4 linked regions of the Drosophila melanogaster genome follow. The protein of the gene in region 1 interacts with the protein of each later gene in a pairwise test. Each region holds a gene or a part of one and is shown in the gene's direction. Other genes may lie near its edges.

Region 1 (4,174 bases):
ATAAACACGAAAACATACATACTTAACATAAAGAGGTTGAAATATAAAATATCGTTAGCATAAGCAGCACTAATATGTTGTGTCCGGTGGCTTCCTCCAATTTCAATTGGCTAATCGGATAGTTTTTAAGACTGCCGAAGTTCTTACTGCTCCCGCTTGGCATGACAAGCTCTCACCGTGGACAGACGCGAATGTTGTTAAGCGCGTATATTTTGGCAACTATCTTTTATATGGCTTACATATAAAATTGTCCGGCACTTGCAACGGGAGCTTGTCAATCGGCCAACCAATGCGAAGCTTTTATACGACTGGCTGACTGCGACCGAACTGCAATTGATCCATTGTGTACACTTATAACTAAAACTACATAATGTTACATGGAAACACTAAACTAATATACAATTTGGCCATGACAGCGGCTCAAAACACTTAAAACTTATAAAACAAATTCACGTTCGATTTAGTATTAATATCCGGCTGCTGGTGCTCATCCTCTTTCTGCTTGCAATTGTAAGCCTCACAGAGCTGATCGAAGTCGTCCTTGCTCATCTCAACGGATTCCATCATAGCCACCTTCTTGTAACTGTTAAGAAATACATTTGGTCAACACGGGCTCATTCTTCGGCTATCTAGTGTTTGCGACTTACGTGTCTCTATTGTACTTTTCCCGCATGGCCTGCGTGTTGAGCTCCTTTGCCGTTTTGTGGGTGTGACACAGATGCAACACAACCGTTTTTAGGTCCTCCAGCTTGTAAGTCGTGATCTCCTCCAGCCTTGGCGTCCACATCTCCATGCCCAAAATGTGACGCGCCAGTGCGACTGAAGCGGATGACATAAGTGATGGCAAATATTGCAAGTACGTTTCTCCCTCCATGAGCGACAACTCGGAAATATACTGTGTCAGGTAAACATTAAGTTAAGTTTCGGCTTTGTTTCTTTTTTCTTTTGTATTGGCAATAGCTTACCAGCGTCATGTACTTCAGCTTCTCAGGCATGTCGCAAAGTACAGCATAGGTGTTGATGAAGACGTAAGCAGTCGGTGTGCACAGATCGAAGGAGAGAATCTTCAAGATAACCTGCTCCATGCGTAGCACCTGCGCCTTGGTGTAACTGTCGTCGGTGAGGAAGACAAACTCACCGACCTCTGGGGGATAGATTTCCTCGTATTTTCTGAAAAATAAAAAAATAAACCCCATGAATACACACACCATTATTACCGGACTATCAAGAATACTTACGCGGCAATATACATAGCTGCCGTGCCCACCAGCTGTAACTTGGAGCGCACCACCGCCATTTGGCTCAAAAATCGATCTAGATAAAAGACCGAGAGATAGAGCGTCTCCGTGTCCAGTTTGTACTCCTCGGAAACCTCAACCAGCCAATCAATAAGGATGGAGCGCATATTGTGGCTAATGTCCTTCTGTCTGCGCATATAGAGTGGCTTGGGGCGATGTTTCTTCTGGAAGATGCAAACACATGCAAACAAATGATTAGAAACCGATTAGATTACCCGGCCTAACAAAAATTACTAAGCCAAACTTTTAATACTTTAGGTTAGGATTCGCATATATATAGCTTATGCCTTTTCTACACTCTAATCTGGCAACCAACTACCCGTTCCCAGTTTCATCTTAAGAAGGTGTCAAAAATGTACAAATTTCACGGGAGAAAAAGCCGTACAGTCATCAAATCAAGCGTATAAATACCATAGGAGAAGTGGCAAACAACAGCTGGGGGAGGGAGTTAACCGATTTTTATTTATTTATTGGTTATTTCGTAGTACGTGAGTCGCATCGAAATTCCCAGTTCGAACTTAAATTTCTTTGCCAAACACCTACATATATGTACATATATATGGGCAATATGTACATTAGGTGATTATTTTATGGTCGCTTTAACGATTATTGGAACCGTCAAGCGACTCGAGCTGCAAAAATTAAAGAATTCGATTGACATGAATATATGTACATACATCAGCATTTGTTTTATATTAAGGCAGTTAACTCCCATGAAATTATTATAGATATATGTAAATAGTCTGTAACTAGTAGGTTACAGAGGTAGTAGTAGAGGCAAACAATAAACAAAGCACCCAGCAACCGGGCAAACAAAGTCAACTCAGGCATATATCCACATCCTACTAACAAGAAGAGACAGACATATCGACCTCGAATACAGTTGAACATCTTTTATAACTAACTCCGGCACAATGACGCTCAAAATCGGTATATGCACCAAGCAGGATCTCGACGAGGCGATGAAGCTGCAGAAGCGGGAGCAGTACGAAGATGAGCGGAAGCGGCGCATTTTTAATGCCAAACAGCGTCTTTACGGGGTAAGTATGCATCTGCAGACTGGGTGAGCTTCATTGCCGAATATTCCTATTCACAGCTCGACCTAGAAATGCTGGATCGCCAAATACTTGAGAAAAAGAAGCAGCGAACCGCCCAGATGGAGTGCGACAAGAAATTTGAAGAACAGGAGCAGCTGCAGAAGCGTCTGATCCTGGCCCAGGAAATGGAGTTGGAGAAAAAACAGCGTGTGGTGGACTCGGATCTTAACTATTATCGCTGCCGCTATCAGCGCAAGGAGCAGCGCCGCGAATTCGACCTAAATGATCCGAATTTCTTGAAGAAGGCACGTCCAACAAGAGTCGCCGACAATGACATTTCGCTGGGCGTGTCCAGTGCCCAGATCTTTCAAGGCGAGGACCTCTATAACTCTGACAGAAAGCAGCGGCAGCGGGAGCAGCAAAGAGCCTGGCTGGATCAGCAAGTGCAGGAGCGTAAGAGGGCGGAGGATGCTCGCAAGCAGGCCGATAATGTGTTGATGGACAACGTTGGTTGCAGAGACAAGCATCTGCAGGAGATGGCCAAGTCTGATCACCAGATGCGCAACCAAGTCATCCAGCGAGTGCGTCAGTTCAATATCAACATGGCCAAGCAGAAGCAATTGGACCGCGAAAGGGAAAAGCGTGAAAAGTACGAGGATGACATGGCCGAGATCTATAACATGCTCTCCAGCGATATGCTAACTGAAAATCCGGATGTGGCTCAATCGCGCACCGATCCGAACAAGAAGATTGCCTTCATGTATCGCGGCATGACGCCCGAAGAACTTCGCGTGTTTCGTCTTGGACAAGATCAGCAGCTTCGTTTGTCTATTCAGCGCAAGACGGAGGCCCAGATGATGGACAAACAGTGGGAGCAATACTCCATTAATATGGACCGCACCCTGGTCCTTCACCAAATCGAGGATGATCGCCGACGTAAGGCGGAATTCGATGAGCTGATGCGGGCGAATTCCAAGTTGGCCGTGGAGCAGGATCGCCAGCGCAAGGAAGCCCTTGTGGGCCTAACCAATGCCGTCTCCGATGACTTTTACGATCAGTTCAACAAGAACTCACGTTAGTGGGATTGTATTGAAGTTCCCAACCAAGACGATTCGAGAATAATGAGCTGGATGCGATTAGAAAGCTGCCTCACTTTCTTGTGCAGCAACTTTCCATAGGCGTCCAGAACATTGTACTATTTTAAAAATACAATCTTTGTTGGGAATCTTCACGACGAAATTATAATGTTCATGTTGGAAACAAAGCATTTCAAATATTTAAAAATTTAAAAAAAAAAAAAGACAAAAACCCATCTCTAGTAAAAACTGAAATATCAAGGGAAAATAAAGAATACGCCCATTCTGGACAAAACCTAATCCTTGTGTTGTTGTTTTGTATTATTTAATGTTGTTTTCGAGTTTTGTAATTTAACTATCGATTTTAAAATATTTTTAAATTTTTTTTATTTGTTTTGGTTTTCTAGTTTTTTAAATTCTTTATCAATTTTAAAACTTTTTTGGTTTTAATTTTTTTTTTAGTTTTTAAACTTATTTTAATTTTTAATCTTTTATTTACTAACGTAGGAAACAAACTACAATAGTAGTCAACCTCCCTCTGCAAGTCGAATTCCATTGGTACCCCGAGTGTTCTACGACTTTGGACGAATGAGAAAAAGAGAGTCAACAACAACGACAAAGGATGAGACGGACGCAGACAGACAAGCGTTTCGCTTCCCGCCCAACAAACATGTGCCCGCGAGCGGGAATAAGTGTACCCATGAACCCATAAAGAGGCAGCGTTGCGTGAAGGGAATGCCAACGGAGGGTGCGACAGGGTCCG
Region 2 (3,067 bases), on another chromosome or scaffold:
TTTTGAGATTTTTTCTTTGCGACGGTAGCTAATGTTTACTATATATTATATAGTAATTAAATAGATAGATGCATGTATGCGCTTGTGTGTGTCTGTGTGACTGTGTGTGTCTATGCATTTGAGTATGTGTGTGTGTGTGTGTGAGCTGGTGAGTTTGGCCTTTAGCTAAGCCTTAGCTTTCTGATCGATCTCTATCGTTCTGCATTCGTTCTTTTTGCTTATCATTTCAGTAATATTTGTTAGGAATGGAAAAAAATTACAAGCCATAAAGGTAGAAAAAAACTTTACAAATTACATTTTCAAAGAGCACAGTAGAGGGATAGAAAGTGACGGAGACGGGGCAAAGAAAGTCTGCGAGAGATGGCACCCCGTCTATTTACAAAAGTATTTGTTCTCCAGCCGCTGGCAGTAGTCGCAGATCAGCTGACAGCACCGTCCATTGTTGAACCGGCACCGGCACTTCTCCACCTGCTTAACCACCTGGGTGGTGTAGCCACGCCCACAGCACAGGGTGCCACAGTTGTCCGGATGCAGGCACTGCCGATCCTTGGTGACCGCGCAGTAGGAGGGCGAGGTCTCCAAATAGTACAGCGTGGTGTATTGCGATTGTTGGGGCTGTAAAGGGAAATTACTTATTAGTTTTTTAAGTTTAGGTTCTAAAATATTAACAAAGTCTTTTGTGGTTAAAAGTCTAAACATAAAGATGGACTACCTCGACTATCAGATACCCTTTTCTCCATAGAAACCAATTCCCGTTATAGATCTACCTTTTCGAATGTATTCTACATATAATTCTACATCTACTCTACTTTTCTTTGAAGAACTTACTTTCTTGCGTCGCTGCTTTGGTTTTTTCATGCGACTCGATGACACCTGTCGCATTGATCGCTGGTTTGGCGCCTTGCGAATGGCCTCGTTGTACTTTTGCCTCAAGAGCGTGGCTGTGGCATTGAAGTCGGCCATCTTCTTCCAGCAAGTTTTCATCGAACAGGAGCCGGAGACGCCGTGGCACTTGCACTTGTCCATCATCTGCGAGGAGACAGCTTCGATGCCGACCTGAAAAGAAAGTTTAATTAGCACAGGTATTCTATAAAATATCTCCTTCTGCTCCTTAAAATATATCTCTTTACCTCTGAGTCATGTCGCAATATCTCGCTGACCTCGTCACCATCACCACCGCGCAAGTCCAGGAAGCTGCGTGTCACCCGCTTGCCGTGCTTCAGATTGTCATTGCAGCCGCCCCACTGGAAGTCCTGCGCCTCCCTGTTGTGCTTTTTTGGCCCGCAGCTGCACTTGGTCATACGTCCCTCGGCACAGGCCCTGGCTATCGAGTGGGTCATGGCGGCCGCTGTGAGCGCGTGGACGAAGGCAGTCTCCTTGTAGAGCTTCTTGAAGATGTTCCGCTTTCCGCGCGTCTCGATCGAGCAGTTCCAGCGGTCGTAGCGGAACTGTTCCTCGCAGTGGGTGGTGGCCAGACGGCGGGCCTCGCTAAGGGTTCCCGGCAATCCCGTCTCCTTGCGACACTGGTGGTTCTGACGCCGCGTGGCAGGCATGTATCTGCAGGGTCCACCCACTTGGCCCTGCGAAGTGAACACCGCCATCACCGTGTGCTCCGAAATGAAGTGTTCGCTGGCAGACATAAAGTATTCGAAATTTTTCATAAGAAAAGGTAAAGGTATTCTTAAAAGTCCTTTTTAGAGCTATACCACAATTAAATTACGTTTTTATTATAAAAAAGAGAGAATTCTATAGTCGAACTCCCCGACTATTAGAAAGCCCTTACTCAGCTAGTGGGAACGCAAAATTCTTTCTAATCTAGTATGCACTTTTACTCTACGAGTAAGGGAAAATTTCGAACGGAGAGGCAGTTGTGTTAAGTGTCAAGTCCAAATAGACCCTACAGTCAGAAAACTTATATAGTGCGGTGAGTGAGGTGAGTGAGAAAGTGAGGTTCGATCTTAACATAAAAAAATATTTTTCTGATTTTAAACAAAATAAGATTCTTGGTACGTATGAACACAGAATGAACTGACCATTGTTATATCTAAGCTCATATAATTGCCAGACAACAAGGTGCTGTCACCATCACCAACAAAAAAAATGGAACCCTCGTTTTCCAATACTAACAAATCGGAACTTCAGAACCAACTACGAGTAGAGAGAGCTCTGCAAGATAAATATTTAAAAGAATTTTCTTCAATGGCGGATGAGCTAAATCACTTAATTGATGGCACTACTCCCAGCCATATTGAGACTTATGAATATTTGGACACTGTCGACACTGAAAGCGGTCGTTCTCTCGAAGAAGAGAAAAAGTTAACTAACTTTTTCTATAAATTGAAGAGCGATCTACAGAAATTATATAGAGAAATCGTAGAGAACCCAAAATATTTAAACGAAATCAGGGATTCAACTATTATAAGGGACAATATAGATTTACTGGATGAAGTAGACGCTTTTGAAGGTTCGATGAATATGCTTTGACGGACAGGTGGGATTTGAAAAATGTAAAAAAATTCGGGTGTTACTTTATTTTTTATGGTTAAAAAATAATAAAAGAAACAGGTACCCGTTATTCTTTTACTCTACAAGTATAACAGGTATATTGGATTCGGATTTCTATTAAAGCGACACCTATCTTTGGCTTGCAGATGATTTTTACACAGATTTCAGCGCCCAGTGCGCCATCTAGCAGAACTTGTATGAAGCTTTGTGTGCGAGCAATCGGTAAAAATACCGTTTCAAAGAGAATTTAAATTTTGTGCGCCTACTTAGTTAAACCAATATGTCATTTGAACACTTAATAATTAATTAATAATAATAATTAAATTAAATTTATTAAATTAATTAATTAGCAACCACCAACCTTAGGATTGCACAATCGAAATTCTGAACTACAAAGTTTTTACTGCTAATAATAAACCGGCACATGAGAAACTTTTATTTGATTTATCAAAAGTTACAACACACATGCTAGTATGGCCTTCTCTTATCAGTTTTCTAGAAATAGCAGAAGGAATTTCCCTTGAATTGGTTTCCCATGCCATATCTGTTTCCAGTTATTTCG
Region 3 (3,815 bases), on another chromosome or scaffold:
CACGTGCTCTTCTATGCCGCAGAATTGGTCAGTAAAATTCAGTAACCTATTTGCTTTAATTTTTGAGTATCATTTGGTAAAAAAAAAAACCATAAGATTACAGTAACCAATTCAAATTACTTACGAAATGATTACGCAATGTCTGTTTGTATTCTGGTGTACAACCGTAACCCAAATAACACTTTTAAACGAAACCCATTCCACAGATTGCCACCGATCCCAAGCAGGCCGTTCAAAAGGCCAAGGAACTGTGGGTCTATCTCAGTGCAGATGAACCCGAAAATCAAGCGAGGCCCGCCACTCTGGAGCAGTTGATTGTGCTACTGACCCGCGAATCGGCTAGGCGTGTGGTTCATCTAGTGAACTTCAGTGCTCATGTGGCAGCCAACATACCCAGGTTGGTAGATCCCGCCTCCATCCTTATCTTTCCATGTGAACCCCTTCGAACCAAACCTTACAGAAACCTGGCGCACACGACAACAGAGGTTGCCCACCATATTATCTATATCAACCACCGCATCATCACAATCTCACGGCTGGACAAGGTTAAAACCATCTCCAAAGAGGAAGCTGAATCTCTTTTCAAGCGCATGCTGGCGTTCTATGGTAGCCTTCAGGGCCTGACCAATGCCTACCTGGTAAGAAAGGATGTGATACTAGCAGTCAGACGGAAGATGATTATATATATTAAATATATTCGACAGGAGCGCGTGGCCAGCTTTCTATCCGGACGCATGGAGGCCGAGAAGGTGACGGGCAGCGATGGCGGCAATTCCAACCACCGGTCATCGCGGAGGAGGCAGGATCCGAACCATTATTCAGCCACCCACAATAACATCAACGGCGTCTACTAGCATTGAATTCTTTATTGCTATCGTATTTTTATTTCTGTTTCTCCGTGCATATACGGAAAATACACTAAACGATATTGTACATCTATTTTTAACATAATGCATTTGTCAATAATATAAGCCTAACTTCACGCTTAACAATACAACGCGGACTTTTATCCAAAATTATTATAGACTCATATTGCCAATAAAGCATTAGGTATTGAAAGAATTCCTAGGGTGCTTTAAATTCTTGCTTTAATTTATTTAAATAAGTTCGCTTTGTAATACGCAAGCTCTTTGATGCTTTCTCGGATGTCGTCCAGACTACGATGCGTGAAAGATTTTTTGGGAGCGGAATCCAGAATTGCGGGATGCCATCGCTTGGCCAGTTCCTTGATGGTGGACACATCGACGATGCGGTAATGCAGGTAAGCATCTACCAATGGCATGAATTTCATAATGAATAGTCGGTCGGTGTAGACGGAGTTCCCACCAAGCGGACAGGCGCGCTTTGGTATGTTCTTCTCGAGATAGGATAGCACTAGATTGGAGGCTTCTTCGAGATTCACATCCGAGCTCTTGCATCGATCAATAAGACCTGAATTGTAATGATGTTTCATGCACCACTCGTTCATCGAGTCGTAGACCTCCTGCGGATGGTTGATGGCAAAGCATGGTCCCTCCGACTTCACGTTCAGGTCCTGGTCCGTAATGATGCAGGCCACCTCGAGGATTTTGTCCTTTTCAATGTCCAGCCCGGTCATCTCCAAGTCCATCCACACGATGTCCGTGTCTAAGCCACAGGTGCTGCTCATTCTGTCATTTGAATTGAATGCGATGTGGCTCCGAATTTGGCGGTTCAGGGACAATCCGACGCGTCGAAGGTGAGCAAGCATATATAGCTGTAGCGCAGGTTTCTTTTTGCTAAATGTAAATATGCGGCGGTTTTACCATGTGTTTGATAACATGGTATCGTTACGATAACAACTGGTCACACTACAGGCACATTGCCCAACACTGAAAGGGGGATTCCTGTCATTACAGGAACAAAACAAATCGAATATTATGTTCATACCCAAATAATTGCAGAATAATTTGTTCAGCATTCTTATTTGTATCCACCAAAGTCGAAAGTAATTGTAATTAAAGTTAAAGGTTTTATGCGATAACGACTTGGAGCCATTTTAACTACAGCGAACGGTAATTTCTAACAAACCGCGCACGGTCACTCTGTCGAGTTGATATTTTTATCAAAAATTGTTGTACGGAAAACGCAAAAGGTGTCGTTATTGTTGCAGCATGTCCTCCTCGTCGGCCAGAGACCAACCGGGAACCTCCCATGACAACTTCGAGGAATTCTACACAGAAGTAAGTGTGGCGGACGGAACCGCAGGCTCAGTTTTTATTCTACACTGGGTCGGGCTCCTTGCACGGCAGCCGCTCCAAATAAACTAAACCCTTGTTATTATGTACACTTTAGTAAATGATTTTGTGCCTATATTGCAGGTGAAAGAAATTGAAAAACGTGATTCAGTTTTAACTCCTTCTCAACAAATTGATCGTTTACTTCGTCCAGGTTCAACGTACTTCAATCTCAATCCGTTTGAGGTGCTCCAAATCGAGCCCGAGGTCGAATTGGCGGATATAAAAAAGCGATACCGCACCTTGTCAATCCTCGTCCATCCAGACAAGAATCCCGACAACCAGGAGCGCGCTCAAATGGCATTCGATATTGTGTCGCGTTCCTGGAAAATCCTCGAAAACGAACTCACGCGCAAAAGGTGTCTGGAGGTGTACGAGGAGGCAAAGGGGCGAACGGATCAAATGGTGAGTTCCAGTTCCTCGGAGCATTAAGCTCTATGATCGTCCGGCTTTAGAATAATTGAAAATCCAATTGCAATGGCACATTTTCTTTATTGTACTGTATTATATTAATTTGTTCGTTACCTTTCAGATTGCAGAAAAGCGTAAAAAGCTTAAAAAAGAGGGTCGGCCCACTGAGCCAATACCCGAGGACGATCCCACCAAGTACAAGCACGCCATCTACGTTATGGTCATGAAACTGTTTGCCGACATGGAGCGTCGACGGCAAAAGCTCGACCAACGCGACCAGGAGGAGCGAAAGCGAAAGCGCGAAACGGAAATCGAGGAGGAGGAGCGGATAAAGGCGGACCGCGAATGGCAGCAGAACTTCGAAGAGTCGCGCCAGAGCCGAGTAAACAGCTGGCATGACTTTCAGTCGGGTGCCGGCAAGTCCAAGAAAGCCAAGAAACAAAAACATATGACCGGCATGATGGTTCCACCAAAATTTAAGCCCGAGTCGCGATAATATAGCTTCCCAGCGCGGCGCCGCTCCTTCACTATCGCCAGATCACCTCCGCCAAACCGCGTCGCGTTGCACATGAATATTTTTACATTTTTTTTATAAGTATCCTTTGGAATTGTAATTGACACGTGCATAAAATATAGATGTAAGAAACACATTTCCGTCTTGCCTCTTTCCTTCTACAATGGATGGCTTGGACCATCTCCTTCGATCACAGTTCTGTGTACAAGGATGCGGTGAAAACAATATCGCGCTTGATAGCAGCCGACGCCTCCTCCATCTTCGACTGCAGTCCCGGATTGCCAATCCGAATGGCGGCCGTTTTAACATCACGCAGCGTTTCATTCAGCTGCTGAATGCAGCGAACAATGATGCCCTCCTGCACCGTCGTCAGTTTCATAATCTCAGCAAAGGGCTGTGAATTGGATTAAATGGACAGATATGAGGATAGGCAAAATTGCGTCCTACAGGGCTTCTTACCTTATTTCTAGCCCACTCGTAGACCACCTCCAGCAGACCAAAGTTCAGGCGATTATCGGTCTCGATGGCTGCCTGAAAGCGCTGCTCCTCGGCAAGAATTGTATCGTTGATCTGCTCAAATGCCGCCACGCACTCCTTCAACGCCTCTGGTATTACCGGCTTATCCTGCATCTTCG
Region 4 (5,444 bases), on another chromosome or scaffold:
AACTGAAGTTTCCGCATAATCTTAATAAAATATGTGCCCATAAATCTAAACTAATGTATATCCTTTTCCTCTCTGTGCAGGATCCCATTCCGCTGGCCATCGTTGGAGAAACGTGCGGCGGCAAGGACATCTAGATAAAGTGAAAAGTGGGTAGGGAAAAGGTAATCTTGAATCACAAGCCGCACACTGATAGCGCCAGGACAGAGCGGCCGAGTTTTGAGGAAATCCGAGGAATCACACATAGGGACCCACAATGCACAATCCTTGGGCCGGACAGCTGTTCGCTCGGGGATTAGCACGGCTAGGCGAGCTCCTCTGCTCCCTCACCTTCTGCTTCTGCTTTCTCTCATTACTTTCGCCGGCGGGGCGCGCAAAATTATTAAAACCTGGCCCTGAATTATGGGCCATAATTTAGAATTTGTATTTGCTCAGAGCTTCCCTCTGGCTCCTTCGTCCTTCGTCCTTCTTCCTTCGATTTCCACTGCTTTCCCTTTTCTTCCGCTTTCCCACTCGATATGCCTGGCGGGCAATGGCAGGGGGTGGGGTTTGGTATTGGTGTGTCTGTGTGTGTTCACAGGACCCAGATCCTTTGATTGATTTGGGATCGCCGTGAAAAGCTGGCATCCATTGACAGGCAGGCACTTCAAGGACCAGAGGCTCTCGGATCGGCTTATTTGCCCAGGATCATGCGAAATGCCATGGAAAAGGATCTGCAGATCAATAGGTGATGCGAAACACAGGGAATAATTGGATCTGGCTAGGGAAGACTATATGGCGTATTGTTTAGACTGATTCTATTGTCAGTGCCTTGAATTTGGTATTTCGCAGCCTTAAATATTAAACATATTCGATTAATTCATAAATGATCAAAGTCGAAAGCATCAAGGATAAGTAATTTTGCATAAGGAAACTGCTTTTAAAGTTCTCATTAAAATATAGTATATATTTTCAGACTTACCGAATCCGCAGGATATAATTCTAAAAGTCACTCCTGACATCTTGCCAAACACTTCCCAAAATCAAATCTCAATCAATTTCGGAACATGTATATCAATCGCACAAATGATGATGGCCCAATGGAAGGTCCCTTGTGGGCCATTAATATTATATATGCCGATCGTTAGCCGGAGCATTTGTCAAGCATTATACGATGGAAATCCAAACTTGACAAATGCCAAGTGAAATGCCATGTGAGATGAATTGGAATGCAAAGCATTCGATTTCAATATCAACCCGATCGCTCCCGCTCCGGGGGGTGGGACGAGTTCAAATTGCCGGGCTAGTGGTGGTGCTACACTAGGTTTTCAAGTTCAGTCCAAGGGAATGTCCTTTCCGAGTCCCGAAATTCCTCAGCAGTCAACAGGGGAGAGAAATCGGGAGAGCGAACGAACGGCAATCTCACCTTCAATATTGAAAGGTGCTGTTGAAAAGGTGGTGGTTCCATTAGTACACTGTCAAAAAAGACTGTAGTTCAATACTTTTAAATGAACTAAAAATATGTAATAATCAACTATGATATATATTTAGGATATATTTCATTTGTATACAAAATTCCTAAATGTTATCTTTATGTGTGCATAAAACAAATTCGTAAATAGTTATCAAAATCTGTTTCAAATAGTTGGGTATCTTCTCATTCAAAAATCTGTAATACATTTAAAATATTTTGTATAGCTGGTCCCAAAGTACAACATATTTGTTTTCAGTGTGCCTCGTGAGACCGGGTTTCAAGCTCTGCGAGGTGAGCACGCAACGTTTGCGTGCGAGGGTAGAATTAGTCACTTTTCGTCTGTTGCAGCGACAGGACGTGTATTTCTCTGCGATCGCGAGCAGGAAATAAATTTCAAAATTTACAATTTTGATTTCCCAACACCCGTCTCGTTACGCCTATTTTCATTTTTTTTTTAAACGTGCAAAGAAAAAATACCACAAAATTTTATATTATTTTTCATTGTGAAACGAAGCAATTTCTGAACTTTGGATACCCCAAAAAAAAAAAAACGAAGAACGCGAAAAATTCCAAAAAAATATATACAAATAAAAAGGTAAAGATAAGTGAAGTGCATGAAATGGAAAACGAAAAGCCAGTGTGCATATTTTCGGGCTAAATGTGCATTAAAAATGCATTAAAGCAGAAGTGTCTGGGGCAGCGGGGTTTAATTAAAAACACCCCATTAAAATCGCCTAAAAACGTATAAATTGTGCGCGTGCGATTTTGGGTTATGTTTTGCTGGGTTTTAGCTCCTGCGTTTTGGTTTTGAGCTTGGGCAATGGGATATGGGCAATGGGCTATGGGTTAATGGGTTTTCGAACTCGGGCCACTTGGCCCAAGTGCTCGAGTGCTCTTCAGACCAAAACGAGAGCGGCGGCTGCAAAATGCGCAAAAATGCTAGCACGCACGTACATATCCCGGAATCGAGTAGATGAGCGAAATCGCTCACTCCTGCGGATCCCCCCTTATCGCCATCACTCCTCGAGTGGCCGGAGATCGACACCACTGGAGGATGGGGCAGAGGAATGGGAGTAGGACGAGGCAACAGAGTGTGCCGGCAGCACCACCATTTTGCCCAAGTTCACACGGCAAAAAATATATATGTTCTCCCAGCCACACTTTTTTTATCACTTGAATCTTCAGTCTCAAAATCATGCAGCTCAACAAATTTACTATTCAAAATGAATAATAATTATATTAGTAACTTTCTTGGCGAACTTAGTTCCCAAAATTTCTATTGATTTGCAAATTTAATGAAATGGTATATTGGACCGCTAATTTCTAATTTGACTATCAAGGGCTTTGCTTAAATATTTTATTTTTATAGTAAAGAATGTTGTAAACATTTTTCATTTCTATTGAAATTTGAATAGCTTATTGCTTTTATAATTTAATCGGGTACTAAATCTGGAACCAATTTTAATATCTTCTTTATTGTAACAAAGCCATTTAGATGCCAAATAATTCCCCAGATTCTGAAATTATTTGAACAATAGTTCAATCAGTTAAAAAATAATATAAATAAAATGTATAGATATTCCGATTTTTGCGCATAAATCCCCAAATTCCTGCCTGATTTTGGGTGATAATTTCTCCCTGTGCCGGCACACCACCCGAGCACACGATACGCGAGGCAGAACCTTGGGCTAAATCGCAGCTGGAGGGCAGTGCGTTGGTATGGCGAACAGGAGCGAACCGGAGGCCCAGAAAATCGCGAAGCTTTAGCGCGCTTTTCCTTTGTTCCCGGGCTCTTTGTGCCGGCTCAATTGTTCGCAAGGATATGCGGAACCAGAAACTCCTTGCGGAAATCGGGAAGCTGGCGTTCAGCTGTGCGAATCCTTGGCGAAATCCCAAGCAGGCCCCTGTGCAAACTCGTTTCGCTACAAGTTAGTCGGGTTTTTGCTCTGTTTTTGCTTTTTTTTTTTGCAATTCCATTCTGCTTGAGAAGCTTTGCAAATAGACAATCGCTAACTAGCCCTATCCTTTTTGCCACTTTTCCAGATATCTTGGCACCGCAGGAGCGACAGACAGCAGCTGCCAGGATGCTCAAGTGGGCTGTCAACCAGCCGCGAAACTCGTATCTGGCCAAGGAGCTGGCCATGGGATCGCAAACAGGATCGGAATCGGGATCGGGATCAGGATCTCTCGAGCAGAAGGCCGAAGTGGTGGGCTCCAGCTACAGCGAGTTCCACGCCCTGCGTGGCAAACTCAAGAGGAAGTCGATCGGAGTGGCGCCAGGCAAGGAGAACCAGCTGACCTCCACGCCGCTGCCGGCCAGCTCCTTGAGCCTCCATGCTCGCACACCACTGCTCAAGGACCTCAGCAACATCCTGGCCACGCCGCCATCGGGAGGAGCAAGTGGCGCTAGTGGGGCAACTGGAGGAGCAGCTGCTGTTCCCCTGAAGTTCGCCTGCACACTGCCCACCTTCGAGGCGGAGTACTCGCCCAATGCCGCCATCATTCCTGGCTCCCTGATCGCCCTGCGCGGCATGGGCATCCCGGACAGCTACTTCGAGAAGCCGCGCTACCTGGAGCAGAAGCCACTACCACATCCGCATCCCCATCCGCATCCAGCTCCTCCGATCGGCGAACAGAATACGCTCAGTTCCAGCCAGATGGGCGATGTGACCCTGGAGCGTATGATCGATGCCATCCTCGAGAGCAACCGCAAGGTGCTGCCCAACGCCAGACAGCAACAGCACCAGCATCAGCACCGCCAGCCCAGGCAGCATCTCCGCCAGCGGCACAGGCTCAGGCAGCAGGTGCTCCGGAGCAGCCACGGACACGGGCACGGGCACGGCTCCACCCAGACGCCATCGCCCACCTACCGCCCCGCCTTCGATCCGGCCAGCGATCTGTGCGAGTACTGGAAGTCGCCCTCGCGGAGGGATTCCCTGCCAGCGGAGGGCTTCGAGGAGCGGGAGGTGCGCTCCCCCGTGCCCACCGAATCCGAATCGCAGGATGCCAAGCGGCATTCCCTGCAGCTGCGCAGGCAGCGGGTGGTGCGGCGCAAGCGAAAGATCACCACCAAGATCTCCTCCAGCGTCAGGCAGTCGGCGCAGAAGCTGCTCGCAGCGGCCAGGTCCGGATCTGCAGTGCCCAGCCAGCGGTTCGCCCAGAAGAGGCGCCACATTAGCCCGGACAGTGGGCACAACTCGACCAGCGATTTTGAGGAGGAGCTGGTGGCCATGGGATCATGCGGCGGGCGGGTGGAGGCGGTTACCAAGCGGCGGCTGAGCTTCTCCTACGCCGAGGATCTGTTCGTGGAGAAGTGACCCAATGCGGGTCATGTCCATATGTTGATTTTTGACTTCTGTTTGGTTATAACCTAAACCTTTTTTTTTTTTTTGAGTGGCTAAAAGCGCAGCATTGCCTTGGAATACGAATGTTGAAACAGATCCTATAATTACCTAAGAATCCTTTTTTTTTCTGACAAATAAAAAACCGATTTGAAAAACTAGTTGAATTGCGAATTTATTATTCCTAATATCCTAAAAAAGGAAAGTTCGATTTGTTACCATTAAATATGAACATTTAATTCTTAAAAGGATGTAAAGATCATTTTGCCGCGTAAACGCAATTGGGTCCTTGTTAGCGTTAGATAAGTACAACCATTAATTAGAGATAAACTGTCTTCTACGTGGGGATTACTTGGCAATATTTCAGAGGCAATATTCTAGAGTTGAAGTTAAACTGGATTCTCACGTTCCGCCCATGAATTCATCACCGTCGACCTTTCATTTCCAACCGGCGAGCTGGCAGGATATGCTGGATAATATGCACTGAGCTAGAGGGTGCGGGAGTAACAGTTGTGGTAGTAAAAATGTTGCGGCATATCCTGCGAGTCCTTTACACGGCACTTATCACGCACCTGTGCACCACCAAATGGCGAACCACCAACAACTACAAACGACAAACGACAGGCTACAAAACGGTGGGCATTTGCATAAAT

The links.
Region 2: the proteins of CG7264 (region 1) and CG31909 interact in a two-hybrid assay, tested with the Drosophila melanogaster proteins (one large-scale study listed by BioGRID).
Region 3: the proteins of CG7264 (region 1) and CG10375 interact in a two-hybrid assay, tested with the Drosophila melanogaster proteins (one large-scale study listed by BioGRID).
Region 4: the proteins of CG7264 (region 1) and CG15646 interact in a two-hybrid assay, tested with the Drosophila melanogaster proteins (one large-scale study listed by BioGRID).

What each region holds. Positions count from the first base shown.
Region 1 is NT_037436.4:11,827,223-11,831,396, forward strand, and holds CG7264 (uncharacterized protein), read left to right. Parts: upstream 1-1,807; 5' UTR 1,808-1,967; intron 1,968-2,026; 5' UTR 2,027-2,212; coding exon 2,213-2,338; intron 2,339-2,394; coding exon 2,395-3,414; 3' UTR 3,415-3,622; downstream 3,623-4,174. Other genes in the region: CycA (cyclin A), read right to left, coding at 430-583, 648-895, 966-1,170, 1,239-1,462.
Region 2 is NT_033779.5:7,255,632-7,258,698, forward strand, and holds CG31909 (uncharacterized protein), read left to right. Parts: upstream 1-1,880; 5' UTR 1,881-1,933; exon of another isoform or gene 1,934-2,006; intron 2,007-2,065; 5' UTR 2,066-2,100; coding exon 2,101-2,484; 3' UTR 2,485-2,567; downstream 2,568-3,067. Other genes in the region: Wnt4 (Wnt oncogene analog 4), read right to left, coding at 373-615, 829-1,056, 1,131-1,629.
Region 3 is NT_033777.3:23,765,670-23,769,484, forward strand, and holds CG10375 (uncharacterized protein), read left to right. Parts: upstream 1-2,042; 5' UTR 2,043-2,132; coding exon 2,133-2,201; intron 2,202-2,339; coding exon 2,340-2,660; intron 2,661-2,729; exon of another isoform or gene 2,730-2,787; coding exon 2,788-3,162; 3' UTR 3,163-3,315; downstream 3,316-3,815. Other genes in the region: Lsd-1 (lipid storage droplet-1), read left to right, coding at 1-27, 207-397, 461-638, 705-854; CG10214 (uncharacterized protein), read right to left, coding at 1,094-1,729; tst (twister), read right to left, coding at 3,371-3,574, 3,640-3,815.
Region 4 is NC_004354.4:15,667,385-15,672,828, reverse strand, and holds CG15646 (uncharacterized protein), read left to right. Parts: upstream 1-1,799; 5' UTR 1,800-2,045; intron 2,046-3,031; exon of another isoform or gene 3,032-3,378; intron 3,379-3,493; 5' UTR 3,494-3,534; coding exon 3,535-4,767; 3' UTR 4,768-4,944; downstream 4,945-5,444.